Linked DNA regions of Tamandua tetradactyla. The protein of the gene in region 2 interacts with the protein of the main gene of each other region in a biochemical or structural test. Links are inferred from orthologs where the notes say so. Each region holds a gene or a part of one and is shown on either strand. Other genes may lie near its edges.

The links.
Region 1: of the proteins of ATXN3 (region 2) and CAPN2, one has a biochemical effect on the other in vitro, tested with the Homo sapiens proteins (2 studies listed by BioGRID). The link is inferred for Tamandua tetradactyla from reciprocal best matches to the Homo sapiens genes ATXN3 and CAPN2.

Annotation. Positions count from the first base shown.
Region 1 is NC_135328.1:137,670,401-137,686,604, forward strand, and holds the start of CAPN2 (calpain-2 catalytic subunit), read right to left. Parts: upstream 8,404-16,204; 5' UTR 8,249-8,403; coding exon 8,012-8,248; intron 3,544-8,011; coding exon 3,474-3,543; intron 1-3,473. UniProt on the Homo sapiens protein: Calcium-regulated non-lysosomal thiol-protease which catalyzes limited proteolysis of substrates involved in cytoskeletal remodeling and signal transduction. Proteolytically cleaves MYOC at 'Arg-226'.
Region 2 is NC_135338.1:52,940,333-52,956,987, forward strand, and holds the start of ATXN3 (ataxin-3), read right to left. Parts: upstream 8,719-16,655; 5' UTR 8,643-8,718; coding exon 8,619-8,642; intron 1-8,618. UniProt on the Homo sapiens protein: Deubiquitinating enzyme involved in protein homeostasis maintenance, transcription, cytoskeleton regulation, myogenesis and degradation of misfolded chaperone substrates.

The DNA.
Region 1 (16,204 bases), on a different chromosome or scaffold from region 2:
TGGAATTACAGGGTCACATTTTAATTCCTGAATTTTACAGTTCAGCATTAATATCACCACATGTATACAAATGGTGTAAAACAAGTACAGTGGTATTTTTAATACAGAATAAACATCTGTTTTATGGAAAAACTATACTTCATATCTACACAGACAGCCCATCTTTTCCAAACAATAGCCAAAATGGAAATTAACTACAAAATCTCCAAAACAGGGGAAACTGCTTCAGTTTAAGCTATTCCAGGAAAAATGGACCCATTAACACATTACAAGGGTGATCTAAAGATTGTAGCTGGAATTACTGTCTTTAGCTTTTCTTTTACCAAATTAAATTGTAGTTTGGGGATATTTTTCTCACTTCAGCATGATCTCAGATCGTAGAGAACAAAACTAACATTAAAATACTTACAGTTAACTTGCTATTCTAAAAATAAAACCTCAACTGTTTGCCTCAATTTATTATTTTAAATTCATTACGTACATGGAATGTGCTTTCATTCTTAAAAAAGCAGCTTTCATATTACACCCTTGTTTATTGAAAAGCTTCATTTGCTACATGTTGACTCTGACACTTCGTACTGTTTGGTCCAAAATGGTTTCTAGATATTAAATACCATTTAATTCAGCACTATCTTTGAATGTTAGTCTTTATAAATTAAAACATGCCTGCTGCTCTGGAGAGAGAGAGAATTTTACTAACAAAGCAGAAAGTTATTTCAAAGTGCCTTCCATGAGACTGTACTGGTAGGTAGTTGTAAGCATTTTGTTTTATCCATTATCATGTTTGTAAAGAAATCCTTTTGGAACACTATCGTACTGATTCTTGGCATCTGTTAGCTCTAAAAGTGCTGATTTTAAAATTACGTTTACAGAAATATCCATTTTGAATCCAGCTTGCTTATCTTTGTCAAAACACATACCGAAAATTCTTGGTGTAGAAAACTTAACATGCACTTTAATATAGGGTGTACTTCTCTCCAATACCTACAAGGCTGAATTTCTGTTAAGAGTTTCAAAGAAATGGTCAGAAGGCAGGATTTTAAATCAGATTAGGATTCATTCCTTTGGCAATTTCTACCTGTGTGGATTTATGCGCAACCTCCCCTCTCTGAGCCTCAGTTTTCTTATCTGCATAGTGGGGTGAAAATATTTACTTCAGAACTGAGTTGATTACAGGAGATAATGGGATGAAAAATGCTCCAAGTTATGTACTGTATACAAGCATCAGGCTCTGTTACTATTCCATTTTAGTGATAAAAGACGCTTTAAGACAAAATCCAGCCTCAGGAATGAGGAACAGCTTTGAGTGGTTGAATGCCACATCTCAGGGATCTTCGTGGTCACTTCATTCACCCTCCTTCCTCCTCAGTTTTCGAAGAAACTGAGTGCTGGGAAGTTAAAAGACTTGCCCAAAGTCTCCCGACAAAGCTGACCAACAAAGCTGAGCCTGAGCTTGCATCTCTGGCTCCATGGGCTGGAGGCACTGCCACACCCCTGTCTCTGAAACTTCTGGTCCTCTTAGGACTTGGTGATGGTCACAGTCGGGGTGAGAGTTCAGTAAGCGGCATTTCCAAGTCTGTAATCTAACCAGGATCCTCCGATATAAAAAGGCCAAGAGAACAAAAAAGGCCGACATGGTATAAAACACCTTAAAAATTACAGGCCCGTTACTGAGAAACTTTCAAAAGGCTTACATTTAACCCTATTTTATTTGATTTGGTGCACAAGGAGGGAAATCCGCCCCAGGAACGTAAGCTTTGCTTGTTTCCTCTCCGGATGGCCTGGTAGTATTTAAACAAGACTTACATCAGGCATTCATTACTTGCAATTTGGCTCTGAAGATGTTGTTAAGCTCTGAAGTAGATATTTAGTACAGGTGTGGTGTTTACTACAGGTGTGGCAGTTGCTACATTTGTCTCTGGAGTCTCTAAAGCCCTCCAGGATTGGGTGACGTTTCCATCAACTTCCAGCCCCATTATCTTCCCTCTTCTCTAAACAATGGATTTCCACAGAGCACCCACCTTAGACACCTGGGGACGCCTGGCCTTCTTTCTTTTGGAGGGAGAGGGGGAAATGGGAGACAGAAGGTGGAAATGGGGAGCCATGCTTTCTGCAGGTGAGAACGTGCTCTGGCATCTCAGGAATCTGGGCACTGAACTTAAATCAGCTTGGTTCTGCTGCCCAGTCCTGCGTCATGGTCTCCCTCAGAGGAATTTCCTACCGGGCTCCCATGTACCTGTCCTAATGATTCACATAGCTGCCTGACATCCGTTCGGGGGTGAGAACTTTTCCAGGCCTCCTTCTCAGGAGTCTAGCTCAGGAGCTAAGCACACAAGCCCTGGACCCGCCTGAATGCATCTGCACACCAGGTCCCTACTTCAGGGGACCTTAAGCAAGTTACTAGGACCCCGGAATCTTCATCTATAAAATGGGAATTATCAAAAAACCTTAGCGTTTTCTCAAGTACAGTTTAATTTCCAGCACATAGTAAATGTTCAATCGATATTAGTTGTTATTATGAGTATTAGAATCTCCGCTAGGTAAGTGAGAAAAGGGACTACAAGATGAACTCGTTTGGGGAGCTAGCTGAAACTGGTGGCAGGAAACAAGTTTTTCGTTTACCAGAACAAATAATCTGCTCAAGCAATTACAGACCCATATTTATCATCAACAAAAATAAATCAAGGGTGGATTCTATGAGAATTTTAAATAATAGTCCCAGCCCCCACTGGGACTTCTTTGGTAGCTTTCATACTAAAGTTGGAGGACTATGGGTTCAAATCCACAGACAGCACTATATCCAGAAAAACACATCAGAACTCACCTTCAGAGAGCAAAGTTGTAGACCTTCACACTCAGCTACTCCAGTTAGCTTTACTTAAACATTCCAACTGCCTTTACAAGGAAATACACCGCTTCCTACTGTTGTGAAACCATGGTGAGCTTGTCTTGCAAACACTGAAGACTCTGTGGTAGTTGGACTTCCTCTCAGCAGTGAGCATTAGGGTCTTCTCTTCATTCACACTGAGTCACCTTCCCCTGTCCCTGAACCTCAGAGCACTGGTATCTTAAACCTGTTACTGGCCTGGAGGTGTCCTCCCACCCGGCCCTCGGCCCAGACCCTGACCATTTCACAGGCCACCTGGTGACACTGGCTCCAGAGGATACAGAGACCAATTGGTGGCTGAAATCAGGAGCTCCTCAATTCTTCCGGGGGAGCATCTTTGTAACCCCAGGAACTAGCCCAGTGCTGGGGCCCAGGAGTCCCTCAATCCTGTACATATGCATTGGTGTGCTTGGCATGGGGTTGGGGGTAGAACTGCTACCTTTGGGGACAAGAAATTCCAGGAGCTCAGAAAGCTGGAAATGGAAATCACTAAGCTTCTTCTGAAAGGGAGAGAAGCCACCGTCACTCCCTTCACCCCGGTCTTGTAGACCCAACCCCACAACTTGCTCTGGATGTCACCACTTACCTAAGGCTCCTTGGCAGATGTCTGTACGGGTGGCTCCTTCAACAATGAACTGGGGGTCATCGCAGATCTCCTGGGAACGAGACCAACAGACCTATTAGTCCACCGTGCATGCACATTTGCATTTTGGATGCCTCAGTTCCCCAGAGGTACTTTGGACCGCTTCTCCCCCTTTCCCTCCCCCCTGGGAAATGTCTCCCTCAAGGGAAGCCCCTGTTCTGCTGCCATGGCAGAACCCTGCTCCGGGGGTCCCAATGGGTGTGGGTGGTGGACGCATCTGACTGAGAAGAGCAGTAACCGACCACACACATTCCCACTGCCTAGAGCCTACATCCACCTGCTATTTCCTGGTGGCTGTGGCAGCATCAAGCCCAGTCTCCTCTGACTCTAAGGCCCTCTATAACCTGGAGCCACCCTGTCTGCCATGCTTGTACCCGCTCCTCTGTCCTTGAATGCAAGTATTTTTTTTCTCAATTTTACCAAAGTGTTTAAAAACATGGTAAAATATATATAATATAAAATTTGCCATTTTCACCATTTTTAAGAGTGCACTTTAGTGACAATAACATTTACAATGTTGTGCTACCACCACCACTGTGCATTATAGAAACTTTTTTATCACCCCTAACTGAAACTCTACCTATAAAGCAGTAACTCCCCATTCCTCCATCCTCCCAGCTCCTGGTAACCTCTAATTGACCTTCTATCTTCATGGATTAGCTTATTCTAGATATCTCATAAAAGTGAATTCATCAATATTTGTCCTTTTGTGTCTGGCTTATTTCACTGGCTATGATGTTTTCTGAGTTCATTCAGTTGTACACGGATCAGAACTTCATTTCCTTTTAAAGCTAGATAATATTCTATTGTATGTATATACCATGCTGTATTCATCCATTCATCCATTCATCGATGGTCACGATGTTTTAAACTTGGCCTGTTGTGAATAACGCTGCAGCTGTTTTGCTTGCATGGAACTCCTCCCTTTCCTGCCTTGTTCTCTCCTTTCTCTTATCTTCCCACATTTCAAGGCTCACTCTCACCTCCTCCATGAAGCCTTCCTTCGTAATCTATCCCCACACCCCTCCCCTTGATTCTGATACTCACAGTATTTGTACTCTGCAGTTTAGCACTTAATGGCAGATTGTCTTTTGGTGTTCATGGGTATTACTCTTGTCTTCCTAACACGTACACATTTCTTGAGGGCATGGAAGTGTATCATTAGGAGCCTTCTGAATTCTTCCATGATTTATGGGATGTCCCAATAATACTTGGATCATCCATATGTTAGGTAGTGCTTAGAGATGCTTCTGAAAAGTGACCCTTTTGCACAGTAATACAGCACTGAATTAAACATGGCTGTAGCAATCAGGGGAAGGGTTGAAGGCTTGGGCTTTGGATTCACATATTGTGCTTGATGCTTTATCTAATGCAATTCTTCCAAGAACACAAGATGGGTATTATCCCCATTTTACAGATGAGGGAATGGGTTCAAAGAGGTAAAGAGGTTTTTCTGAAGTTACACAACTCATTATGATAGATGGTGCTTGGTACTGGGATTTGAATTCACCGGTCTTACTCTGATGACACACTCTTCACATCTGCACAGCCACTAATTGATTAGTAACAGGACTCCAAGGGCACTAAAACCCCAGGGACGACCGTACCACAAGTGGCTGGATGAAACCAACCTTGAACACTTCTGGCTCAGACTCTTTCAGTAGCTCTCTGAGTGTGTTTCCTGATTCATAAGAGCTCCACCCCAAAGCCACAGAGGAAGTTGGGGGCATGAATCTGGGTTGTTCTTGGCTTGGACAACCTTGGTTTGTACAAGCTGCTCTTCCATCTCATGCCTGTTTGAGCATCATATGCGGGTGCCTCGGTCCCAATTTCTTGGTTGAGATCTGCTGGATGCAGGCCCTGTCCAAGCTGGCTTGGATTGTAGAGGCTCTTCGTGAGCCACACTCAGTTGCAGAGCAAATGCCTTTAATGCCTCTGCATTGTCTCTATCCCTGCTCAGGTCAATCTGTTTGGGGAATGCCAGGGGCAATGAGAATGCTTTTCTGCGAGCCAAAAGAAACCTGCATTGCCTGAGGCCTGCCAACTGAGCACTTATCTGGCTGCCTAGTGCTAGGAGCCTCTTTATTATGGACACTCATACTGATAATCCTCAATGTGCCAAGCACTTCCCCTGAAGGATTTTTCCATCATGTTTCAGAAACTTTCTCATGCCTCTGGCAGTCTCTCCAAAAAAGTCAAATTTCAGAGTGGTGTTTAGAGATGATCCAGAAAGCCAAAACTTGTGCACAGCATTAGGGCATTGCATTAAACACTGGCTGTAACAGTCAGGGGAAAGAGGTCGGGGGCTTGGGCTTTGGATTCAAACTCACTTCAGATGGGCTCTATGATGCTAGGTAAGAAACTTAGCTTTTTATGCTTTAGTTTCCTCATCTGTAGAATGGAGATGGTGACAAGTATATCTACTGCAGAGGTTTTCAGGGTTATGAAATAAATATGTAAATATGCCTTGGTAAGCACTCTATAAATGTTACCTCCCACCAGCATTATTTTGAAAAAATTTGATGATGATAATCCCTGAGCTTGGAGGCAGGAGATGTTGGTTTGAGGCTGAATTCAACCAGTGCAAAATAAGTGAGTTGTGAATACTTCAGAGGCTTGGTTCCCTCAGGGGGAAGAATGGGGAATAGAAATACCTGCCCTTGCTCTTACCCGACTGTCTGTAGCTGGGAGCTTCTGAGGTGACATCCTCCAATCATGACAGTTCTTTCCTTACTATGCTTCCTGCACCAGCCCTAGGAGCTCACCGTGACTTCAGCCATTTTCTGCTTTATTCCTTTTCCCATTCCTGGAGGCCCTCTCTTGCCAATATTGTAAAATCTTTTGTCTTCTAGCCCTCTGGCCCTGCCCACAGGAGAACCAACCTCTGTTTGAGGAAGAGCAGTCCCTATTCACGCCAAGGCTGACCAGACAGACCCCTGTCCTCCAAGGACCCTATACTCCTATTTCCTCAGGGATCCTGTCTCATGATTACCTCCTTTCTTCTTTATCTTTAATTCCTTCTTCTCTGGTGGCTCAATATAGAGCACATATAAGGTGCTTTCATGTGAAGAAAATACCAGCCTCTCCCACCCTAGGCCCCGCTCTACCCATTCCTGTCTCTCTTCCCTTGTTCCCAGTACCTTTCTCTGGAGTAGATTTACTCCTCCGCCTAATGCAAGCTGGCTTCTACTGCCATCTTTCCCTTGAAATTGCTCTGCTAAAGTCTTGGTAATGGACACATCCAGCTGGAAGTTTTCTTTTTTCTTGCCTGACCACAGTGGAGTCTGACAGTGGTAGGACAGACAGAAGCAGTGAGGGCAACCGTAAAGTTGAGGGCTCAAAACACGCACAGGTTAGAAACTTGGTACCACCATGTATACCTGAAGCTTCAACGCCTTCAACTGCCTCATGAGAATAATAACAGCTACACCTCCCCCTCAGCTGTGTAGTACAGTCTGCCATACTCTAAGTAGCTGCCCTGAAATGAAGAGGTCCCAATCCATAACGTATTACAACCCTCAAGATCTCTATATCCTCATTCAGAAGTCCCACAAGCATCTCCAACTGTTGGGTGACTTGTCTGAATATAACAGTGGGGTGACCTGGGAGGCTCAGGGGAGTAGAAGCAGGGCAGGGATGCTTATTCCTTTAGGAATCTAAAGGTTGGCTTTCCCAGGAAGCCTCATTTAGGGATGGTGGAGGTAGCTTGGTGACATGTCCTATAGGAGAGGGCAGGAGCTAGCAGGGGTTTCTTGGGAAACTAAATGGACATCTAGATTAAGAGGCTGGACATTCAGGTGTAAGGGCTGGAAAAGCTCTCCAGGTGAGGTTTCTGGGGCACTGGAAGGATGATAAACTTGCTCTTTGCAGCATCTCCCAAGTCTTTTGTTAATCACCAATTTAAACATTACAGGCCGTTTTTGCTAAATCCCATTTAGAAAAGTGAACATAAAACTCTGAGTGATACATCTAACCACTTCAACTGTGTGACACAATACTTAGTCACAAAACGAAGTGGGCTCTGGACTTTTCCTGCTCCTGAAGAAGAGATAAGCGGAGGTAGAGACTGACTTTGTCAGAGACTGCCTCTTGCGAACCCCCCAACCCACTTCCCAACATCTTCCCACCAGGGTCCAATAAAACTTATCTCCCCCCTTGTGTCAAAGTTCAAAGGTGGCTCCCCTAGCAGACCTGCAATGGGATTTGAGGACAGAGACCCACCTCGACACGACCCGTCCTGGGTGTTGGGAGTGGAAGAGGGAGCCAAACCCCTCTGAGGACCGCAGAGCGCCGGAGATCCAGGCTACCCTCGGGGCCCAGGGTAACGGGATGGAGGCAGCCCGGGGCGAGTCAGCCGGAAGGCTCACTCTGGTTTGCGACTTTCCCCGGTGCTGCTTTCCGTCCACACCGCGGGGTGCTCCTGGCACCGGGGGGCCCGGGCCCCCTCCCCGCCCTGCACCCGGCCGCGCCCGCGCTCCTACCGTGGGCCTCTTCCACACGATGCCCTGCGTCTTGCTGGAGTAGGGTCCCAGCTCCTTGAAGCCCAGGGAAGACGCGATGGCCGGGAAGGAGGGGTCCTGAAAGAGCGCGCCGGCTTCCAGGCACTCGTCCCGCAGTGCCTCGTAGTCCTGATTGAGGTACTTGATGGCTTTCTCGTGGGAGCCCAGCCCCTCGGCCGCCTCCCGGTCCTTCACCAGTTTGGCTGCGATTCCCGCCATGGCGCTGGTCCCCGGCCCGAGAAGGAGCGAGGGTGGGGGCGTCTGGCTCCCTGCGCGGGTCAGGGGCGCTGACGAGGCCTGGGCGCGCTGCAACGGGACTGCGGGAGCGGCAGCTGCGGAAGATGATTCACCCAGAAGGGGAAACGCTCCCCGCCCGGCCTGGGTGTGGCCTCGGCCGCTCCCGGCCTGCTCGGCGGCGCGGCCCGGGACGCGGCTCCCCCCGGGGCCTGGGGAGGTCCGGCCGGGGACCGCGGCACGCGAGGCCTGTGCTGCCACCTGCCGGCCGCTCCCGGGGCGGCGCGAGGGGCGCGGCGGGGCTGGGCTACTGCGGCTCAATCCAAGACCCGGCTGCCAACTTCCTACTTTCCGGGGAGGAAGGCTGGGAGAAACCCGAGGCTGGGATAATTGTTAACTATCCTGGAAACACCTTATGAGTCAGTAGGAAATTAGGGAGCTAGGATTAGACTAGCTACCATTAATTGGGCTCTGCTTTGTGCCAGACACCGTACTACTGGCTCTAGGCTCTATATATGTTACCTTATTTAATCCTCCCAACACCTCTTTGAAGAAGGTACTGTACTGTCCTCATTTTACAGATGAGAAAACTGAGGATCAGAGAGGTTAAGTGAACGGGGCACGACTAGAAGTCGCGATGCTACACTGTTACTGATCAGCTATAATATCACAAGTGGAGTTGCCATATTTGGCAAATAAAAATACAGGATGCCTAGCTAAATTTGAATTTCAGATAAACAAGGAATACTTTTGTGTATTAAGAATATTGTCCTCCACGTGACTTCCCAGCTGAAAGAGGTGTTCCAGACCAATCCACCTTTCTTGAGTGTAGGTAACCTCTTGTTGGCGCCTTACTTGGACATTTTCACTTCTTTAGAACTGTAAACTTGTAACTTATTAAATTCCCCCTTTATATATATATGTCCTAAATATTGCACAGAAAATACTTATACTAAAAATAATAATAATAATAAAGACCACTCCTTGTTTACCTGAAATTCAAATTTAACCAAGGGTGCTTGTTTTTCATTTTGAACTGTAATCAAGGAGGTTTCATGGTCCTCTAACTCTGGGGCATCTAGCTATGCAATGGCAGGCCAGCTGGGACGGCCTTAGGAGGCTCAGGGTTAGGAAAGAGTTCCAAAGCTAGCAACTTGATTCCTTCATTGATTAGGCATCTTTCAGCGTCTTATTACATGCCAGGCTCTGTTGGAGGTGGGGGTGGAGGTGAGTCTGTGGTTAAAACATAGATGTTGAAGCCAGCCCACCTGGGTTTGAATCCCAACTCTACTATTTAGTAGCTGTGTGTTGTTCTTGGGCAAGTTAGCTAACATTTCGGTGGCTCGGTTTCCCCATTTCTAAAATGAGAACAATAATAGTTGGAGGAATTCATTGAGCATTGAGTTGCTCCTTGGTAGGACACTTAGAACAGTGCCCATGCTAGTTGTTTCTTTAACCGCTCTGTGGGAGAGACAGCATGCGATTCTGTCAGCTCACAGAGAGAAATGGGTTATGTGCTAAAGATGTATGGATTGGAAAAGGTTGCTTCTTCTGGATATAGGGAAGAATTTGTGTTTCAATGGAAAATTGCATTGTCTAGAACAATGGTTCTAACTGGGGGTAATTTTTGCCTCCCACCCCTACCCCAAGGGACATTTGACAATGTCTGGAGACATTTTTTGATTGTCATAGCTTCATGGCTTGAGGGGGTTGGGGTTACTACTGCTCTTTATTGGGTACAAGTCAGAGAAGCTGCTAAACATTTTACACTGTCCAGGACAGTTCCCCATAGCAAAGAATTATTTGGTCCAAAATATCAATAATGCTGATGTTGAGAAACTCTGGTTTAGAACATCTCCTTCCATATTATCTGATTCTATCCTTTCATTGTTTTTTAATTATCTTAAATTCTTAGTTGCAGATAAGTGTAGCAATGTAAAATAATTCTCCTTTTAAGACATGCAAATGAATTCTGCCCAATTATGGAACTACCCTCCCTTTTGTGGGAAAAAGTACACTCATGTATATTTGAACATCCATTTCAATATTCCTTTGCTTCATATATGTTTTTTATTTGTTTTCTTGTATTTTTTTTGTTTTCATATGTTTTTAATAGGCTTTATTTTTTAGAGTAGTTTTAGGTTTACAGAAAATTTAAGTTTAGCAGAAAGTATGGAGAGTTCCCATATGCCTTCTTGCTTTCCATACTTTGTCTTATCATCAACATCTTGCATTAGTGTAGTATATTTGTTATAACTGATGAACCAATATTGATACATTATTATTAACTAAGGTCCGTTAGTCCATTACATTAGGTTTGCCTCATATAGTTCCATGGGTTTTGACAAGTACATGTCATATATCTGCCTTTACAGTATCATACAGAATGTTTTCACTACCCTAAAATGCACCTGTGCTCCACCTACTCATCTTTCTTATCCTTTCCCTGAACACTTGGCAACTACAGATATTTTTACTGTCTTTATAGCTTTGCATTTTCCAGAATGTCATATAGTTGGACTGTACTGTATGTAGCCTTTTTCAGATGGGATTCTTTCACTTAGCAATAAACATTTAAATTTCCTCCACATCTTTTTGTGGATTGATAGCTCATTTGTTTTTATTGCTAAATAATATTCTATTGTATGGATATATCACACTTTGATTATCCATTAACCTTTGGAAGGGCATCTTGATTGCGTCCTATTTTTGGCAATTATGAGTAAAGCTGCTTTTAAACATCCATGTGCAGGTTTTTGTGTGGATATAAGTTTTCAACTCATTTGGATAAATATCTATGAGTGCAATTACTGGGTCATATGGTAAGTTTTTTAAGAAACTGCCTAACTCTCTTCCAAAGTGGCTGTACCATTTTGCATTCACAGCGGCAATGAATGAGAGTTCCTGTTGCTTCATATCTTTGTCAACATTTGGTGTTGTCAGTGTTTAGAATTTTAGTAATTCTAATAGGTGTGTAGTGTCATGTCATTGTTGTTTTAATTTTAATTCCCTAATGACGTGATATTGAACATCTTTTCAAATGCTCATTTTCCACTGTATGTTTTTTTGGTGAGGTGTCTGTTCAAATGTTTTACCCATTTTTAAGTGAGTTGTTTGTTTTCTTATTGTTGAGTTTCGCAAGTTCTTTGTATATTTAAAAAAAATTTTTTATTAATTAAAAAAATTACAAGAAAGAAACACATTCCTAATATATGCTCATTCCATTCTACATGTATAATCAGTAATTCACAATATCATCACATAGTTGCATATTCATCATCATGGTTATTTCTTAGAACATTTGCATCAATTCAGAAAAAGATATAAAAGGACAACAGAAAAATAAAATGAAGACAGAAAAAAAAAATTTTACATACCATACCCCTTACCCCTCCCTTTCATTGATCACTAGCATTTCAAACTGAACTTATTTTAACATTTGTTCCCCCTATTATTTATTTTTATTCCATATGTTCTACTCATCTGTTGACAAGGTAGATAAAAGGAGCATCAGATACAGGGTTTTCACAATCACACAGTCACATTGTGAAAGCTATATCATTATACAATTATTATCAAGAAACATGGCTACTGGAACACAGCTCTACATTTTCAGGCAGTTCCCTCCAGCCTCTCCATTACATCTTGGATAACAAGGTGATATCTACTTAAAATGCGTAAGAATAACATCCAGGATAACCTCTCGACTCTGTTTGGAATCTCTCAGCCATTGACAATTTGTCTCATTTCACTCCTCCCCGTTTTGGTCAAGAGGATTTTCTCAGTCTGTTGATGCTGGGTCTCAGCTCATTCTAGGGTTTTTCTCAATCCCTTGATGCTGAGTCCCAGCTCATTCTCGTATTTCTGTCCCACGTTGCCAGGAAGGTCCACCCCTGGTAGTCATGTCCCACCTATCAGGGGTAGGGTGGTGAGTTTGCTTGTTGTGTTGGCTGGAGAGGCCACATCTGAGCAACAAAAGAGGTTCTCTTGAGGGTGACTCTTAGGCCTAATTTTAAGTAGGCTTGACCTATCCCCTGTGGGGTTAAGTTTCATATGAACAAACCCCAAGACTGGGGGCTCAGCCTATAGCTTTGGTTGTCCACACTGCTTGTGAGAATATCAAGAATTCAACTTGGAGAGGTTGAATTTTCCCCCGTTCTCACCATTCTCCGAAGGGGACTTTGCAAATACTTTTCCACTCACTGATCAAATCACTCTAGGATTCATCTTGGTATCACTCTGGACAAACCAACATCTCATATCCTACCCAAGGTTCCATGTACTTAGGTTGTTCAACCAACTATCTACATAAGTTTTATTAGGAGATGAACTAATCAAAATATAAATTTTGCACCAAATAAACATTTTTTGCTTTAGTCTCACACATAAGTTGAAATTTTAAAATATTAATTACCATCTATTTTCAGCACCCTGCAGTAATGACATTCCTTTGTTCTTCCTCATACAAAAACATTTTTAAAATTTGTACATTTAGTCACTATCATTATACACTCTAGGCATTCCCAGATTATACCACCTCAGTCTATCATCTATCTTTCTTTGTGATTTCATTTATGCCTCAGCCCTCCTCCCTCTATCATTCTCACATTCAGCTTCATTCAGTGTTTTAACATAATTGCATTACAGTTAGGTAATATCGTGCTGTCCATTTCTGAGTTTTTATATTCAGTCCTGTTGCACAATCTGTATCCCTTCAGCTCCAATTACCCAATATCTTACCCTATTTCTATCTCCTCATGGTCTCTGTTACCAACAAAATATTCCAAGTTTATTCACTAATGTCAGTTCATATCAGTGAGACCATACAGTATTTGACCTTTCATTTTTGGCTAATCACACTCAGCATAATGTCCTTAAGGTCCATCCATATTGTTACGTAATTCGTAACTTTACTCTGTCTTACAGCTGCATAATATTCCATCGTATGTATATGCCACAATTTGTTTAGCCACCCATCTGTTGATGGACATTTTGGCTGTTTCCATCTCTTGGTAATTGTTAATAGTGCTGCTATAAACATTGGTGTGTAAATGTCCATTTGTGTCCTTGGCCTCGTGTCCTTTGAGTAGAGACAGCATATAGATGGGTCCTGTTTTGTAATCCATTCTGCCAGGCTTTTGATTGGAGAGTTTAATCCATTAACATTCAGTGTTATTACTGCATGGGTAGTACTTTCTTCTACTATTTTGCCTTCTGGATTTTATATGTCATATCTAATTTTCCTTCTTTTTACCTTTATTCATAGTCTTCCTTTCTATACTCTTCTCCACACCTCTCTCTTATGTCTTTTCATATCTGTCTCTAGTGTTCCCCTTAGTATTTCTTGCAGAGCTGGTCTCTTGGTCACAAATTCTCTCAGTGATTTTTTGTCTGAAAATGTTTTAATTTCTCCCTCATTTTTGAAGGACAGTTTTGCTGGATATAGAATTCTTTGTTGGCAGTTTTTCTCTTTTAATAATTTAAATATATCATCCCACTGTCTTCTCGCCTCCATGGTTTCTGCTGAGAGAGTTACACATAATCTTATTGGGTTTCCCTTGCATGTGATGGATTGCTTTTCTCTTGCTGCTTTCAAGATTCTCTCTTTCTCTTTGACGTCTGACATTCTGATTAGTAAATGTCTTGGAGTATGTCTATTTGGATCTATTCTCTTTGGGGTACCCTGCACTTCTTGGATCTGTAATTTTAAGTCTTTCATAAGAGTTCGGAAATTTTCAGTGATAATTTCCTCCATTAGTTTTTCTCCTCCTTTTCCCTTCTCTTCTCCTTCCGGGACACCCACAACATGTATATTTGTGCGCTTCATATTATTCAATTCCCTGAGTCCCTGCTCATATTTTTCCATTCTTTTCCCTATAGTTTCTGTTTCTTTTTGGATTTCAGATGTTCCATCCTCCAGTTCACTAATCCTAACCTCTGTCTCTTGAAATCTACCATTGTAGGTTTCCATTGTTTTTTTCATCTCTTCTACCATGCCTTTCATTCCCATAAGTTCTGTGATTTGTTTTTTCAGACTTTCGATTTCTTCTTTTTATTCATTTCTTGCCTTCTTTATATCCTCCCTCAATTCATTGATTTGGTTTTTGATGAGGTTTTCCGTGTCTGTTCATATATTCTGAATTAAATGTTTCAGCTCCTGTATCTCATTTGAATTGTTGGTTTGTTTCTTTGACTGGGCCATATCTTCCATTTTCCTAGTGTGATTTGTTATTTTTTGCTGGCATCTAGGCATTTAATTGCCTTAGTTAGTTTATTCTGGAGATTGCTTTCACTTCTTTTATCTAGGGTTTTCTTGTTGGGTGAGTTTGTTGTCTGTCTGTTCTTTGACATTCAGTTCTGCTTCATCTGGACCTCTAGCATAAGTTTTGTTTAACAGAGGAGAATTTTTCAGTTCTTGTTTTCTTGTTTCTTGCCCTGCTTGTATGGTGCCTTCCCCCCACACACACTTAGGAGGGTCTACTTAGGTGTTATAGACCCCAGCCAGATTTTCCCAGACCAAACTGGCCTCCTATCAGGAGGAAAGAGTCACCTGCATCAGTTTTCTCTGAGGGTGAGACCCAGCAGGTTGAAAGACCTTCCTGTGAAGTCTCTGGGCTCTGTTTTTCTTATCCTGCCCAGTATGTGGCACTTGTCTGCCTGCAGGTCCCACCAGCATAAGATGATGCGGCACCTTTAACTTTGGCAGACTCTCCCTGCTGGAGGTGTGGTGGAAACAGAGGAGAGGTTGTAGGCTGGTTTTAATGGCTTCAAATTACCAAGCCCTGGGGTCTGAATTCCTTGAGGGAGGGATTCCTTGGGCTTCACCCCTCCCCTGCGGAAGGCAAAGGCTCCAGACAAGGCCTCAAATGAGCTTGTTTCTGCCTATGCCTGGGGCAGATGCAGCCTGAGGAGCCCTGCCTCTATATCCAAAGGCAGTCAAGCCTTTGTAGAAACACAGCCACAAAAACCTGTTTCCTTCTTTTTTTTCCTTTTTTTGTCAGCCCTGCCCCCTTGGCGCTGGGGCTAAAATGAGCAACCTCAGCTTTGACCAGGTTCACCTGAGCTGGGGGCCTATTTTTAGCTGTCAGAATTTGTTACTTAATTCCACAATTGATGTTTGGTTGGGCTCAGCCCCTGCTGCTGGTAAAGTCTCTTTCCTTTCCCCTCTCGGAAGCAGTCTGTGGGGGAGGGGCGCCGGCTGCCATGCACAGCTTGGGAAGCTCACGGTTCTGGGGGGGGCTTGCAGCCAGTCCAGCTAGTCCATACTGGGGTACGCTGTGTGTCTGGTCACTGACGTGGCCCCAGGAGCTTTCTGTACTGTTTCTGGTTATTTGGTAGTTGTTCTAGGGGACGAACTAAAATGCGCACATTGTTTAGCCACCATCTTGGCCCGGAAGTCAGATATAGAATTCTGTATATTTTTTTTACAGAAGTCCTTTATCAGATATATATTCTACAAATATTTTCTCCCAGTCTCTAGCTTCTCTTTTCTTTGTGTGTACTTTGCAGAGCAGAAGTTTCAAATTTTAATGAAGTCCAACATCAATTTTTTTCTTGCTTTTGGTGTGTATCTAAAAAAAAAAAAATCATTCCCAAACTGAAAGCCATCTAGATTTTCTCTTATGTTATCTTATAGAAGTTTTATGGTTTCACATTTTACATTAGCTCTATGAATGATTTTGAGTTAACTTCTGTGAGAGGTGTAAGGTCTGGGTCTAGATTTTTTTTTTTTTTTTGCATATAGATGTTCAGTTTTCTAACAACTTTGCTGAAAAGACTATCTCCATTGAATTGCCTTTGCTCTTTTGTCACAGTGCAGTTGACTATATTTGTATTTGTGTCAGTTTATTTCTGGGCTTTCCAGTTTGGTCGTTAATCTATTTGGCTATTCTTTGCCAATGCCACACTGTTTTGATCATTGTAGCTTTATAGTAAGTTTTG
Region 2 (16,655 bases):
TGGTATGGTCAACTTTAGAAAATGCTTATAAGAAAACAGGGGCCTCGATTGTAAGCTTTTAGAGCAGACACATTAAGTCTAGAGTGGTGATTATTATTTTCGGATTTTGAGAGGCTGTTTTATATATATAATCTGGTATTTAGAGATAAGAACGAGGCTGAACAGGTTGGGGTTAAAGTAATTCAGAACACAAGGGTAAGGAAGACAGTGTCTATATTTTAGAACCACACATACTCTTGGAGACCATCGAAAGAAAGGTTTATCTGGAACTGAAATTTACTGTAGTGTATAATCTAATTCAACCTATCTGCATAGCTCATTTGAACAACTGAAACACAGGCAGCACAAAATAAGAAAGAGGTCCTTTAATCCTGCATAGATTACTGTAATGCCTGGAAACATTCTAGAATATATTAAGCAGATAATCAGAAAGTATTGGCAAAGTCCCCTGAGCAAGGGGAGAAAGAATATTGAACTATTAAACCTTACCATCAGGGATCTCCTGATACTGCGTCAAACTTTAGGGACACCCATATCAATAGGCCATGCCCTCGATCATGAAGCTTACTCTTATGAAACTTATGTAGGTAGTGGAGAAGCTTAACTACCTATAGGCATGCCTAAGAGTTACTTCTGGAGGACCTCTTTTGTTGCTCAGATGTTACCTCAGTCTGTCTAAACCCAACTCTGCAAGTGAAATCACTGCCCTCCCCCCTACGTGGGACTAGACATCCAGGGTTGAAAGTCTCCTTGGTGACATGGGAGAGGACTTCCAGGGATGAATCCAGGCCTGGCACTATGGGATCAACAATTACATTCTGACCAAAAGGGGGAAAAAGGTATAATTAATAAATTATCACTGGCAGAGAGAGTTCAAATAGAGCTGAGGGGCTACTCTGGGGGTTGCCCTTACACAAGCTTCAGGTAGACCTTGCTACCTATCATAACCTGCCAACCCCCAACCAGGATCATTCCAGCCAATCTTAACACCTAGGGCAATACATAAGACTCCACAATGGTTCTATGAATTGGGGTAACTTTCCAGAAACTGACAACCTCCAGATGGGTCCCTGGTCCAGATAAGTCCTGAAATCTAGCCTAGCCTCTTCAGAAAATCAGATAGTTCCAAGTCCCTACCCCATATTAGTGACAGACCCTAACACCCCTAAAGAGAGGTATGGAAAGATCAAAGGTGACGGTGGAGTTATACAGAGAAGACAGGATTTAACAAATGAATATGAATGCTGAATCATTAAATTGATATCTCTTTTAGTCTCCAGTATTTTGGATTCAGCTAGAAGTAAAAACCCAAAATTGTGAAATTGTAACCCATGTCAAACTCTGAAATATGTTGCACAACTAATTGTGGTGTTGTGCTTTGAGATGTATAGTTTTTTGTATGTATGTTATTTTTCACAAAAAGAAGGAAAAAGTCAATCATGATGATAAAAAATACTTAAACCCTTTAGCCTCCTGTATTCTGGAGCTACTAGAGGGAAAAAATACGAGAGGATCATATGGTAGTCCATGACAAACTCTGATCTGTCCTGTAACCACCTGTTGAAGAGTGCTTTGAAAACTACTGCTTTTTTATTTCTTTGCTTTGTATATATATTATACTATACAATAAAAAAGTTAAAAAAAAAAAAGCAGTAACTGATGGAGAAGTGGACCATTCACAAAAATGTGGAAATTAAATAGCACATTCTTCAGCAACCAATGGGTGAAGGAAGAAAGGACAAGAGAGATTAGAAAGTTATCTTGAGGCAAATGAAAATACAACATAGAAACACTTGTGGGATATAGTAGAGTCAGTCCTGAGAGAGAAATTCATAGCTCTAAAGACTTATGTTGATAAAGAAGATCTCAAAACAGAAATCTAACCTTACAACTAGAAGACAGAAAAAGGGAGTAAATTAAACTAAAGTGAGCAGAGGAAAGAAACAAAGTTTAGAGTAGCAATAAATGAAATAATCAACAAAGAAACTATAGAGAGGATCAAGAAAACTAAAAGTTGGTTCTTTGAAAAGATCAGTAAAATCAACAAATCCTTAGCTAGAAAAGAAAGAAAAAAGGAGAAAGGATGCAAATAACTAAAATCAGAAGTGAAAGAGGGTACATTACTTCTGATTCCAGAGAAATAAAGAGGAGTATAAAAGGATATTTCCAAGGACAGCCGTATGCCAAAAAATAGATAGCCTAGATGAAAGAAATTCCTAGAAACAAACTTATATTGACAGAAGAAGAAACAGAAGATCTCAACAGACAAGCAACAGGAATATTAAGTCAGTAATCAAAAGCCTCCCAACAACAACAAAAAAGCCCAGGAGGAGATGGATTCACTAGTGAATTTTATTACTAAACATTTCAAGAATTAACACCAATCGTACTTAAACTCTTCCAAAATATTGAAGAGGAGGGACCACTTCCCATCTCATTCTTTGAGGCCAACACCATCCTAACACCAAAGCTATATAAAGATACCACAAGAAAGAAAATCACAGACCAACTTTCCCTATGAATACATCTGCAAAAATCCTCAACAAAATACTAGCAAGCTGACTCCAACAGATTAAAAAAATTATATACCGTGATTAAGAGGAATTTATCCCAGAAATGTAAGGGTGGTTCAACATAAGAAAACCAATTAATGTAATAATGAACTACTAGAATGAAGGAAAAAAAAACACAAGATCACCTCAGTTGATAAAGAAAAGTTATCTGACAAAACCCAGTATCCCTTATTCATAAAAACATTCAAAAACTAGGACTAGAAGGAAACTTTCTCAACATGATTAAGGGAATGTAGAAAAAAATCACACTAACATCATATGCAATGGTAAAAGACTGAAAGCTTTTAGGAACAAGATAAAGACATTGCTGTCACCACTGTTACTGAACATTGCATTGGAAATTCTAAGTAGAACAATTAGGCAAGAAAAGAAAGAACAGATAAATGGGACCTCATCAAAATTAAAAACTTGTGTCCATCAAAGAACTTCATCACAGTGGTAAAAAGAAGCCTACAGAATGGGAGTAAATGTTGGGAAACCACTTATCCAATAATGGTTTGGATATATATAATATAAAGAATTCTTACAACTTAAAAATAAATATATATAATATAAAGATTTTTTACAACTTAAAAATAAAAAGACAACCCAATTAAAAATGGGCAAAAGACTTGACTAGACATCTTTCCAAACAAGATTACAAATGGCCACAAAGCACATGAAAAGATGCTCAACATCATTAGCCATTAAGGAAATGCAAATGAAAACCACCATGAGATACCATTTCATACCCATTAGAAAGGCTACTACTAAAAAAAGAAAATAAATATTGAAGAGGATGTGAAAATTAGGAACACTCATTCATTGCTGGTGGGAATGTAAAGTGCTGCAGCCGCTGGACAGTTTGTCAGTTCTTAACAAAATTAAATACAGAATCACCATAACGCCTGGCAATCCTACTTCTAGCTTTGTACTCAAAAGAACTGAAAGGAGGAACTGAGTCAGATATTTGTGATGTCGATGTCAGCATTATTCACAACTGCCAAAAGATGGCAACCCAAGTGTCCATCAACAGATGAATGGATAAGCAAAATGTGGTATATACATATAGTGGAATATTATCCAATCATGAAAAGGATCAAAGTTCTGATACATGTGACAACATGTATGAACTTTAAAGATATCATGTTGAATGAATAGCCAAACCAAAAAAGGACAAGTATTGTATGACCTCACTGATATGAAATAATTAGATAAATTCGTAGAGTCAGAAACTAGAACAGACAAGAATATAGGTTACCAGTGGCCCCAATAGGGGTAGGAAATGAGGAATTCATGCTTACTTGGGAGAAAATTTTTGCTTGGGGTGATGCATAAGTTTTGGTAAAGGATGGTGGTGATGGTAGCACAACACTGTGAACGTAATTAATGGCACTGTATTATATATTTAATAAGGCTAAATGGGGGAAATTTTAGGTTGTATATATATTACTAGAAAACTGCAAAAAAATCATAGGACTGTAAAACACAAACAGCGAACTCATGTAAACTACAGACTATAGTTAATAGTACAATTATAACACTACTCTTTCATAAATTGTAACAAAGGTTCCACACTAATGCAAAGCATTAGCATCAGGGAAAACTGTGTGGGGGTGGGGTTAGAGGGCAGTATATGAGAACTCTATGCTCTGTATGGTTTTTCTGTAAACATACATCTCCTCTAATAAAAAATGTTAAAAACTAAAACTCAACATATGCATACCCTACATTCTAGCACTTTTCCTCCTAGTTACATAATGCAACAGAAATGCACATATTTCTGTTGCACATAAATATACATTTACCAAAAGACATTGTATAACACTGTCAATAGAAACTCTACTCATAATGGCTGCCATTATGAGAGCTTCATCAAAGTAGAAAGAATAAAATACATTTACAAAGGAATACTATACATCCACAAGAATGAATTAACTATACCAATGTTAAATAAAAGAAGACATGTTCAAAAGAGTACACACTGTATGATTCTATTCACATAAGCTCAAAAATAAGTGAAACCGGTGATGGTGGCAAAACATTGTGAATTTAATTAATACCACTGACTTGTATATTTGAAAGTAGTTAAAATGGGAAATTGTATGTCGTATATATGTTACTTCAATACAAACTAAAAAACAAAATCAAAAACATAAAAAACAGGCAAAAATAATCCATGATGTTAGAATTTAGGACAGTGGTAACCCTCGCAGCGGAGGGTGTGGAGGGAAAGTCAGTGCCTGGAAGAGGTACAAGAGGAGCTGCTAGGTTGCAGGTAAATGATCTAAGTGTTGTTTATACATGAATGTTCACTTTGTGAAAAAACTCAGATTTGTGTACTCCTATATGTGTTACAGTTAATTAAAAAAAAAGTCCAAACAACAACAAAAAAGGCTCTGGTAAGAAACAGCTATTTTACACGTCAAGAACTACTTAAACTGGTGACCAGCAATGGATTTTCTGGGAACAATATTAAAACTAATCTTCTGTCCTGCTGACAGGCCACATGCCTCATAGTTTGGGTTTCTCAAACTATGGTCATCATACTAATATCACAGATTTAATGACAGTAAAATATCTGATCAAAAAAATCTATATTAAAATTATCTTTAAAATATGAAAAATGAGCATTTAAAAGTAAACTTTGTCTAATAAAACTGTATAGCTATAGGAAATAATATCAGCAAGTCCTGTACTTCTACTATGATTTAATGGAAGGAAAAATGATTCAAAGCACAGACTGTCCAGCCCAAATCTGAAATTGCTTTTTAAGTCATAAAATGAATCAAAGTCTATATGGACCGAAAAATATCATACAATGGTGTCACCCAAGATGGTGTATTTTCCCCAAGAAACTATTCCCAGCCTCCTCTTTATGAATCATCAGTCATTATTAAGCTTTAACCAAAATCAAACAGAACTCTGATTTGCTAGAATAAGTATTTCAATCCCATGATTTCAGGCTCAGACTTTATTGTCTTGTGATGACAGAATCAGAAATTGAGCAAACTGAATCTCCACTTCTACCAAATATCTTACAACAACACAAAAAGGAACTGCAATCAAATCACTTCCCCCCAAAAGATTTCAAGATCAACGTGAAACTAGTTCAAACACCCAGTGATACTACTAACCAAAACAGAAACCAGGCAAAAATCTAAGGGTGCCTCAGAAATGGATGAATCAAAGGCAAGTAATCAATCCAGCAGCAGTTCTTCACCTCCTCTTAGTGTCCCTCACTCATTACAAGATTCAGCAAACAATGGTCAACACTCCTATAGCACTGACTTTATGCCAGACAGCATGCTAAGCACTCATAAATTTGAGGTAGACACCTTATCTTCATGCTATGGAAGAAGAAACTATCACAGAGATAAGTAACTTGCTGAGGATCACACAGATAGTAGCTGTGGGTTCACAACCAGGCCAGTGGATTCAGTTTGTGCCATTACCACAACAAGTCACTTACTTATATGGAATTTGGTTCTTCCTAAACCTCAAAAATTCTAAAGATGGCATAACAAATATCACTATGTCAATGTTCAGCATCTTTTTACTATCTTTAAATATGCCTTCAACAAGTCTGGTTATCACTCCCAGTTCACATTACATTAAAAGTTACCAAAATCAGATGGCACAGTGACCACATCAAGAGTAGTCAGCAAAGGAAGCAATAAGAAAAATGACAGAAGGCAGTCTCCAGAACTAAAACCAAACACCCCAGCCAGCAGTTAGCAGCCATTTAGTATTAGGATTTAAGATAGGGGTCAGCAAACTACAGCCCACATGCCAATTTCGAACCATGCTAGTAGCTAAGAATTGTTTTCACATTTTTTAATGGTTGGAAACAAAACAGAACAATGAAGACTATGCTATGGAGACCCTACATGATCTATAAGGCCTAAACTACTGCTTACTTTAAATAAACAGCATCATACACATCTAATGCTGAAAGAACTTTCTTGGTTCATTAAATATTTATTGAGTGCCTACTATGTGACAGCCACACAGTTATTGAGTTTACATTCTACTGAATATTCAAAATGACAACTTTGAAAATTGGGAAGCCAATGCTCCAAGTGAAAGTTGTTGCAAGGCCCTTTGAAGGCAGGTATCCCTGCCTACACAACTTCAAGGCTAAAAGTGACTCTCTGGCTCTTCAAACCCAGGACCTAGCAAGGGTTAAAGGGAGTGGGGGGTTGGGGGGAGGAAGGGAATACCCTGGAAAATGGCATATAAAGCACATACATTGCCAGAAAAGTCCGTGTATGGGATTAATGATGGGCCTTATGGTTGGAGGTACTTTCCACACTCTTAAAACATGCCTGAAAAACTTTAAGAGCCTTCATTCGCTAAGCATATATAAATGGATGCGGGGAAACGTATGTGTTGGTAGTTGGGCAGGGAGCCTACTTTTTAAATCTGTACACTGCTAATAGTTGAGGGTGGACTTCTTTTAGGGAAGATTAGGCTAGTGCCCAGCTTCTTTTGGTCCCATGGTTCAGTAGTAAACATAACAGAAATCTATCCAAAGTAGTAACAATCAATATTGTTTAAAATACACTGTTTAATTCTCATGCAGCAGTGTGTGAAAACGCTTAAAATATTACATATCGAAACATCTTGATGCTCCACCAAACCCTTTGAAAATTAACAAAAATACGCACAGGCAGGGTTCTCTTCACATAAATCTCCTTAACCAAGTAACTGAATTCCTCTGGTGTAAGATTCATAACTCATTTCAACCAAGTCAAAAGATCAACAGTAACTATACCTATGAGTCCTTTCTCCCCAACATATAAAAATGTCAACTCGAGTTTCAAAACTTTCTGAAATGTGTTCTATAAAACATAGCATCCCATATGTCACTATGCTTCTTGTCTTTGTCATGTATGTGCATATGTGTGTATTTTTAAATGTCTTGCATAAGTGAACATTTACAAGTATTTAATAAAACAAAAACCCTATGTTCCTATAAATAACATCTTCACCAGTAACCCTTTTCAAACATGAAACTGTTATGAAACAAGTTATCATTTGCAAAAGTTGTCCTGAGGAAGGTTTCACTCATACCCGAATGAACTGATAATTGTATGTGAGCAAAGATGAGATTCTGTTATCACAATACAAACAAAATTTTAAGACCAGGTACATAAATGTAAAAACCCTAAATGAAAAGATCTTAAAAAAATTTTTTTTAAAGAAACGAGTTTCTCCACATGCCACAAACAATAACTTCAAGTGGGTGGTCATTTAAGAATCAAAGCGAGAATAGGCTAGGCAGACCACCACAACGAAATTATTCCAGTCCACTTCTATCATCTAGTAACAAAGCGGGCTTCCTAAACAGGAAAGATGGGAGTACACAAAGAAACCAAACCCAAACATCCTGTAACAAAAATTCTTGTGACGAGGAGGGAGTACGGGGCTTCCTCCTTTACTTCTTTAAGTGTCAAACCCTACATATGGACGAGTCAAGGTCCTTGCGCTTGGGAAGCTCATGGACCTAAAGCGGGAGAAAGACTTGAAGCCCAAGGATCTAAGTGTTTGGGAAAGTCTAAAACAGGACTGAGGAGTCTAGAGAAGAAAAAGTTAATTCTGCCAGGACTAGGAGTGAGTTGGAGTTGGGAAGGGTCAGGGAGGTTTCGCGAGGAGAATGTAGCTAGAATCTGGGAGTGGGCGACAGGGTGTGGAGAATGAATTTTCGAAAAGGTTACGCAAACTGGCGGAGAAATGCAGAAGCCAATCCATTCGGTGCCATCCCTAACTCGTGCTCCGAAGTGCCCCGGGCCCTGCTTTCACTCCCTCCCGGATACCCGGAAGTCCCGGGTTCTGGGCTCCTGGGTATCCCGGGGCAGGGGCCTCTGGGGTTAAGAGTGGGGCAGGAAAGCTCCCCTCCCAGCGCGGAGGAGGCGGGCGGCTCGGGAGCGGCCCCTCGCCCCGTAAAGCCGGGACGACGGCGACTCAGGTCCCACCCAGCCCAGCCTTCCGGAAGACGGCAATATTACATTCCAAGCTCGCCACCGCGCCGCAGGCAGCGCCCCACCGAATGCGGACACTCACTTTCTCGTGGAAGATGGACTCCATGTTTATTTGTCCAGAGCCAACGGCCCCCGTACCGAACCAGCCCCCTCCAGCCCCGCCCCTGGCCCCACCCCTCCGCCCACCCCGCTCCGCCTTGTTCTCCCCCTGTTCACGTGTCTGGCACAGACCAATCATCTCCTGGAATGCAAGTCACGTGGAGCGCAGAGCGTGTGAACACCGGGCGGTAAACGTGAGGACACGTGATCTTTGTGCACAGCTTTCCATCTCCTGATAGCTGGTTGGCTCGTATTAGTGCAGCGCCCCCTGCCGTCTGGAGGATCCTCTTCCTTTTCCACCCTTGCTGTTGGATTTTAAGCCATCTGGATAAGGCTCTGGATAAGGACCATTGGGTTTTATGGTCTTTTTTCCTTTTCACTTTACTGTGTGCTTTTCATATATTATATTTTTCATATAAATATTTAATATCTAACGGCCTCTTCCACTTAAAACCTCAGAGAAAAGGCATCATTGTATCATTTTTGTGTAAAAAAAATAGTTAATATTTATGTAGTGCTTACTATGGGCTAGACATTAGTACCAGCCTTCCGTATATCAACAAATTGAATATGGCAAGCTTTAATGTAGGTATTAGTATCATCCCTATTTCACTTGTGAGAAAAGTGCAGCCCAGAGGGGTTAAGAATAGCACAGTGTCCAAAGTTAACTAGTAAGTTGCCATGCCAGGGTTCAAATCCAGGCAGCTTGTACTAGTGAAAGTACTCTGTCCCTGAAGACGAAGTATCATTTGGGGTCAACTAATAAGTTCAGTAAAGTGTTGGTGGTTGATGAAGCTGAAGGGATAGGTTAGGAGCAAATCTTACATATTGAAACTAGGTTAAGAAAGGTGTACCTTTTAAGGTTAATGGTGAACTAAACAAAGTATTTTAAAGAGAAAGAGACATATCCAGGTTTATTTTTCAGATAGATCATTGTAGTCCCAGAAGAGAGCAGTTGCTGGTGAAGGAATCTTGGACTCGATGATGATGGTGACCTGGACTAGGATAGTGGCTTGGAGATGGAGTGAGGCCATTCAGAGTGATAATTAAGAAATAGGGACACTCAAAATAATTCGGTTAGGGAGTGGGGAGAAAGATATGGAAGACTCAGAGAACACTCCTGGGTATCTGCTTTATTTCCTTAGCTATTCAAGTAAATACCATGCAATGGTGTTTTAGTTTGTTAATGCTGCCAGAAATGTACTATACCAGAAATGGGGTGGCAGGGATGACATTCGGGGTTTCTCTGCCAGCTGGGAAGGCACATGGCAATGGCTGCTAGCTTTTTCTCCGGGCTTCTAGTTTCAAACAGCTTTCGGGGGGGGGGGGGGGTGTTTCTTTCTTCATCTCCAAAAGTGTCTGTGTCAGCTTTGAGAATTACCAAAATGGGACCTTCTTAAAGGACTGCAGTAAACAGATTAAGACCCACCTTGAATGAGCAGAGATATATTTCCATGGAACCCATCTAATCAAAAGGTCCCACCCACAATTGGTCTGCCTCCACCAGATTGGACTAGGAAAAAGAAAATGGCTTTTCTAGGGTACACAATAACCTCAAACCAGCACAAATGGTTTGGCTTATACAATGGGAATATATGAACTATGTAAATTAGTGATATTTTCCTAGTTATCACTCTGAATGGCCTCACTCCATCTCCAATTTTAAGGCTAAGAAAAAGTTCAAATGAAGGCATTATTGAGGTGATGCTTTCGTCCCAGAGACTGGCATTCTGTGGCTGGCTGCCAGTGATCCTTGGTTCTGGCTTTTCTGTTGTGTGGCAATGCAATAGCTGCCAGTCCTGGCTCTCCCTTCTCTTCTGGGTTCCGTTAAACTTCAGCTTCTTGTTTCCCGTGGCTTTCTCTCTTTCTGTCTGACTTTTGTTCTGCTTATAAAGAACTCCAGTAACAGGATTAAGAACATCCTGATTGAGTTGGCCACATTTTAACTGATGGACCCTCATCAGAATATCCCACTTTTAATGGGTTCACACTCACCAAGAATGGGTTAAGTTTAAGAACATGTGTTTTGTGTTGTGTTTTTTTTTTCCTGGGGTACGTACAGCTCCAAACCACTGTACTATCCTAGGCAGCCACTTGGGAAAGAGTGTTATTTATTGATATAAAGAATACTGGAGAAGGAGCAATGTTTTGGGAAAAGAAGAATGTGAAAAGTTTAAATCTTTGTGATGTTTAATTTGAAATATCTGTAAGACATTCAAGTAAGTGGTGATGATTAGTGTCTGGGTCTGGAGATCATGAGGCTGGTTTGTGCTGTAGAACCAGGGAGTCACATAAAAAAGGTAGCTGAAACTATTGAAGTGAATAAGATCATCTTGAGGAAAGGAAAACATAGAGAAGAGAATCTAAAAGAAACCTAAGGATAGAGAAGGAGCAACCACGGAGGAGGGAGGAAAAGCAGAGCATACTATTATGGAAGCCCTGGAAAGAGAACGTGTTTCAAGGAGCAACCCGGCGTCAGTTGCTGCAAAGAGGTCAAGCCACATAAGGATTTACAAAAAAACACACTAGGTTTTGTTGCCATGGAATCTATTGGTGACATTGGAGAGTGCAGGTTCATTCAGAAGAGCAGAAGGGGCAGCGGGAGATAGGAAATGGGGACTGCTGGTGAGGACCAGGTTTTCAAGACCATTTATTGAACATCTCTGTGTCCACAGCATACAGTTCTTGTATTATGGAAACAGTACAGATTAGGAACTGTGGCCTAATTAGGGATTGACAAATCACAGTCTCATTGAGTGAAAAACAATCTGTTTAAGAAAAAAATGTGTGTCCCTGGGAGAAAATACAAATTTATTTTTTGTGCATGTACATTACAAATTGTTGGAAGACTATAAAGGAAACCTAGAGGTACATGTGTGAAATGGGAAGGGAACTAGACAAACTGGAGACAGGGGTGGGAGGGAGACTTCACTGTATACAATTTAACTCTTGATTTGACTTATATTAATGTATTATTTGGAAAAATACATGCAATTAATCTGTTACTAGGATATAAACTCTCCAAAAGGATTTTATTTTGTTCAGCGTTAAATCCCCAGCCCCTAGAACAGTGTTTGGCAAAACAGGCACTAAATATTGAATTAATGTTAATTTCATTAGGCCTTCTTGCCTGATTGAGGAAGTCAGTAATAATAAGCATTATAAAGTGAAAAAATCAATGCCTGAAGTCAGAATGTAGGCTCTGGAGCTTCAGGGGCAATTGACATTGCCCCTGAAGCTATATATGACTTAGGTATTAGATTTTCTGAATTACATATTCTGATTAATAACTCAACTAGAAATTCAGCATGTCTTCAACTTTATCCAATTTTGTAAGATAACTCGCCCTGCAAAACTCAATGATCACCTTCTCAGGAAGTCTTCCCTGATCTCCTACTTATTTACACATCCTAATCCCGCCTCTGAGTTCCTGTATGTGTCTCTATCATACATAGTACCATTTATATAATATCATAATGGTTGGTTTAATCAACTCTATAAACGTCTTGATGGCAGGGCTTATGTCTTAATTGACTTTCTATCTCTAGTGTTTTTTATGTCTGTTGAATGAATTAATGCTGGCAAGTATCTGGAGTCGCTCTTTATTCTTTCCTCCTCAACTCTTCCACATCAGTCATTATTTTAATTAGCCTCAAATATTGCCCATTCTCAACTAGCTCTCTTCCATCTGTTTTCTTTGCTAATGCTTAGTTCGAGCCATCTTGGTATCTTGGGTACTACAGGCCAAGGAATTCTGAATTGGTTTTCTGACTCCAATCTCAACATTGATTCATACTGCTGTCAGTAAACTTTCTAAGATGCAAATCTTTGTTAACAAAGAGAATGTTATTATGCATCAGGCACTGGGACTTGAATGACCAAAAAAAGTCCTAACACTTTAGGAGGGATCCTTAAAGAAATAATTTCACAAATGTTCTTTTGCTATTTAAAATCTTACAGTGGCTACCCCCTGCCTTGGACAAAGTTTTGCTCGCTTACAAAGCTCTTTGGATCTGGCTCAAACATATGTCCACCTTTAACTCTCCCAATTCCCTCTTCTCTAGGCACGCGAGATTTGTTGGCAGACCACAACTCAGTCATATTTATTCCTCCATGCATTAAAAAAACACAAACACCACCAGATTTGTTGGCAATCCACAGGTCAGTCATATTTACTCCTCCATGCATTAAAAAAAACACAAACATAAAATTATCCATTAAATCACTTTCTAATATACAATTTAGTAGTATTAATTACATCCACAATGTTGTGCTACATCACCACCATTCATTACAAAATGTTTCATCACCCCAAATAAAATGCTGTACCCAATAAGCATTATTTCCCATTCCTGACCACCCACACACCTACCCCTGGTCATCTATAATCTACTTTCTGTTTCTACCACTTTGCATTTTCTAATATTTCCATATAAATGAAATCATACAGTATTTGTCCTTTTCTGTTTGGCTTATTTCACTCAACATGATTTCTTCAAGTTTCATCCATTTTGTCACATATATCAGAAGTTCATTCCTTCTTTTGGCTGAATAGTATTCCATTGTATGTATATACCATGTTTGTTTATCCATTCATCTGTTGATGGACATTTGAGTTGCTTCTACTTTTTGGCTATTGAGATAAGTACTATCATGAATATTGATCATCGTGGAAACCCAGGGCACATGCTTCCCTTCCATATTGAGAATAAGTTACCGCACATAGCTGCCTACAATGACCAGGACAGAAGTCAACGGTCATCATATCTCCTCAGGGAGGGGGGAGGCAGAATGTACAGATGGTATCAAAAACAAAGCATTAACACTCCATTCCAAACCTTGTGTCTGATGCTCCTTTTAGCTACTATATCAACAGAAGAGTAGAACATATGGAATAAAAATAAATAATAGGGGGAACAAATGTTAAAATAAATTTAGTTTGAAATGCTAGTGGTAAATGAAAGTGAGGGGTAAGGGGTATGGTATGTATAATCTTTTTTTCTCTATTATCGTTTTATTTCTTTTTCTGTTGTCTTTTTCTTTTTCTAAATCGATGCAAATGTTCTAAGAAATGATGAATATGCAACTGTGTGATGATATTAAGAATTACTGATTGTATATGTAGAATGGAATGATATCTTAATGTTTTGTTTGTTAATTTGTTTAATTAATAAAAAAAGTTAAAATTAAAAAAAAAACTCCATTCCATTGATCACTGTTGATAACAAACCTCCAAACTCCTGTATCACAAGACCCTGCTGAAACTGTTCTCACATCCTTGTCCTAAACCATTATAAGCCTTTACATTCTCCCACCCTGCTTTGTGGAGAATTAACTCCCATTTATCAACTGGTCACCATTGAGAAGAATCTTCTGTTTCTAAGTCCCAATAAAATTCATGTCTAACTCTATGCCTGATGTGTTTGATGTGTTCTCTGGTCTTGGGGTTGTGTTGACCCTAGCTCTTTGAGAGCTGGGTTGGGACAATTGATGGGCCAGCCAGGAGACCAAAGAGCTACTTGCAACAGCAGGCACGAGTCTTTGGAAGGGAGAATCAGTGGGAGAAATCCCAAATTGGCCTGTATAGTCCATGTGCAGAGGGGTGGCTGCCCTCTAGATGAATGGGAACCACCACAAGAGTATGGGGAAGTCCTGAAAACTCCAGTGGGGTTGCTAACTGTTTTGCAGCAGATAGTAGGACAACTAAATTTGAGTGAGAAAAAAAGGAGACCGAGAAACACCATCAGCCATAACATGGCCCCTGCTTGGATGACTAACAAGGCAGTACATGTGACAAAAGCTACTGTGCTCCATTCAGAGGAGCTTAAAGTAATGCCATCTTTGTATGCAGTATTCTGAAGATTGCCTCTATACTACAAGGAATTAGCGCTCAATTATGTTGTTATCACTTTGTTTTAGATTTAACTAATGCCTTCTTTAGTATTCCCTTTAAGGCCAACTTGCTTTTACCTTCACCTGGGAAGGAGAACAAAAAGCAAATTTCACCATGCTCCCACAAGGCTATTTACATAGCTTGACCATCTGCCACAGTCTCCTGTGGGTGGTGGTGGTGAAAAAATGTACAGATAATATTGTAAACAAAGCATTAATCTCTCCCCACTTTGAACACTGTTGGTAACCTCTAACCCCCTGTGTCACAAGACCCTGCTGAAATTCTGTTTTCACGCCCTTGTTCTAAATCTTCCTCACCCCTTTTGCAGAGCACTAACTTCCATTTCCCAACCAGCTACCATCGGAAAGAATCTTCTGTTCAAAGTCCTGATAAAACTCATGTCTAACTCTGTGCCTGACATGTCCTTTGATTTTCAGGCTGCCCCAACCCAAGTCCTCCAAGAGTTAGACTGTAACAATGGTCAACTATCTATTCATGTTCTTGCATTCAATTCTTGTGGGTATATACCAAAAAGTGGGGTTGCCAGTTATACGGTAATTCTATATTTAACTTTCTAAGGAATTGCCAAACTGTTTTCCATAGTGGTTGCACCATTTTTTATTTATACCAAGTGCATGAAGGTTCCTATTTTTCTGCATCCTCACCAATACTTACTGTTTTCACTTTTCTTAATCATAGCCATTCTATTGTGAAGTGGTATCTCATTGTGGTTTGGATTTGCAGTTCCCTAATAGCTAATGATGTTGAGCATCTATTCATGTGCTTATTAGCCATTTGTATATCTTGTTTGGACAAATGTTTATTCAAATCATTGGATCACTTTTAAATTGCATTTTATTTATTTATTTTTTTGCCTTTCTGATGTTGAGCTGTGGGAGCAGTTTATACATTCGGGATGATAAACCCTTACCAGATATGGTTTCCAAAAATTTCTCCCATTCTGTAGGTTGTCATAATACCCTTTAATATACAAAAATTTTAAATTTATTTTTTATTTTGTTCTCATGCTTTTGGTGCAAAATCTAAGAATCCATTGCCTAATACAAGGTTCCGAAGATATTCCCCCATATTTTCTTCTCATATTTTTCAGTTTTAGTTCTTATATTTATCAAATTATATTTTAGTTATTATTTGATCATTTTGAGTTAATTTTTGTGCCTGGTGCGAGGTAGGACTCTACCATCATTCTTTTGCATATAGGTATACATATTCTCCCAGCACCATTTTTTGAAGAGACTATTCTTTCCCCATTGAGTAGACTTAGCATTCCTGTAAAAAAATCAGTTGACCACAGTTTATTTCTGAATTCTCAGTTCTTTTGCACTGGCCTATGTCTCTGTCCTCATGACAGTACCACACTGCCTTGATTACTGTAGATTTCTAATAAGTTTTGAAATCAGGAAGTGTGAGTCTTCTAATTTTTTTCTTCTTTTTCAAGATGGATTGGCTATTTGTGGTCCCTTGCAATTCCATATGAACTGGATGACTAACTTTTCCATTTCTGTAAAGAAGGCTGTTGAAATTTTTATTGGAATTATATTGGATTTGTACATGGTTTTGGGTAAATTGACATCTTAATGATACTAATTTTTCCATTCATGAACATAAAATATCCTTCCAGTTATTTATGTCTTCTTTTATTTCTTTCAGTCATGGTTTGTAGTTTTCCATATTAGGGTCCTTTACATTCTTGGCTAAATTTATATCACAAATTTTATTCTTTTAGTTGCTATTGTAAATGTCATATTTTTATTTGCTTTTTGGATTGCTGTTGCTGGTGTACAGAAATCAGCAAAAACTTATTTTTGCATATTGATTTTGTAACTCATCATTTTGCTGAAGTTATTAGGGCTAGAGGCTTTCTTGTGGACTCCTTGAGATTTTCTACAGATAGGATCATGTCATCTGTAAAAGGAAAAGTTTTACTTCTTCATTTTCAATGTGGATGTCATTTTTTTTCTTCCCCAATTGTTCTAGTTAGAACTTCCAGTACAATTTTGAATAGTAATGGTGACAGTGAGCATCCTTGTCTTGTTTCTGATCTTAGAGGGAAAGCTTTCAATTTTTCATGATGGATTTTGATGTTAGCTGTGGGTTTTTCATAAA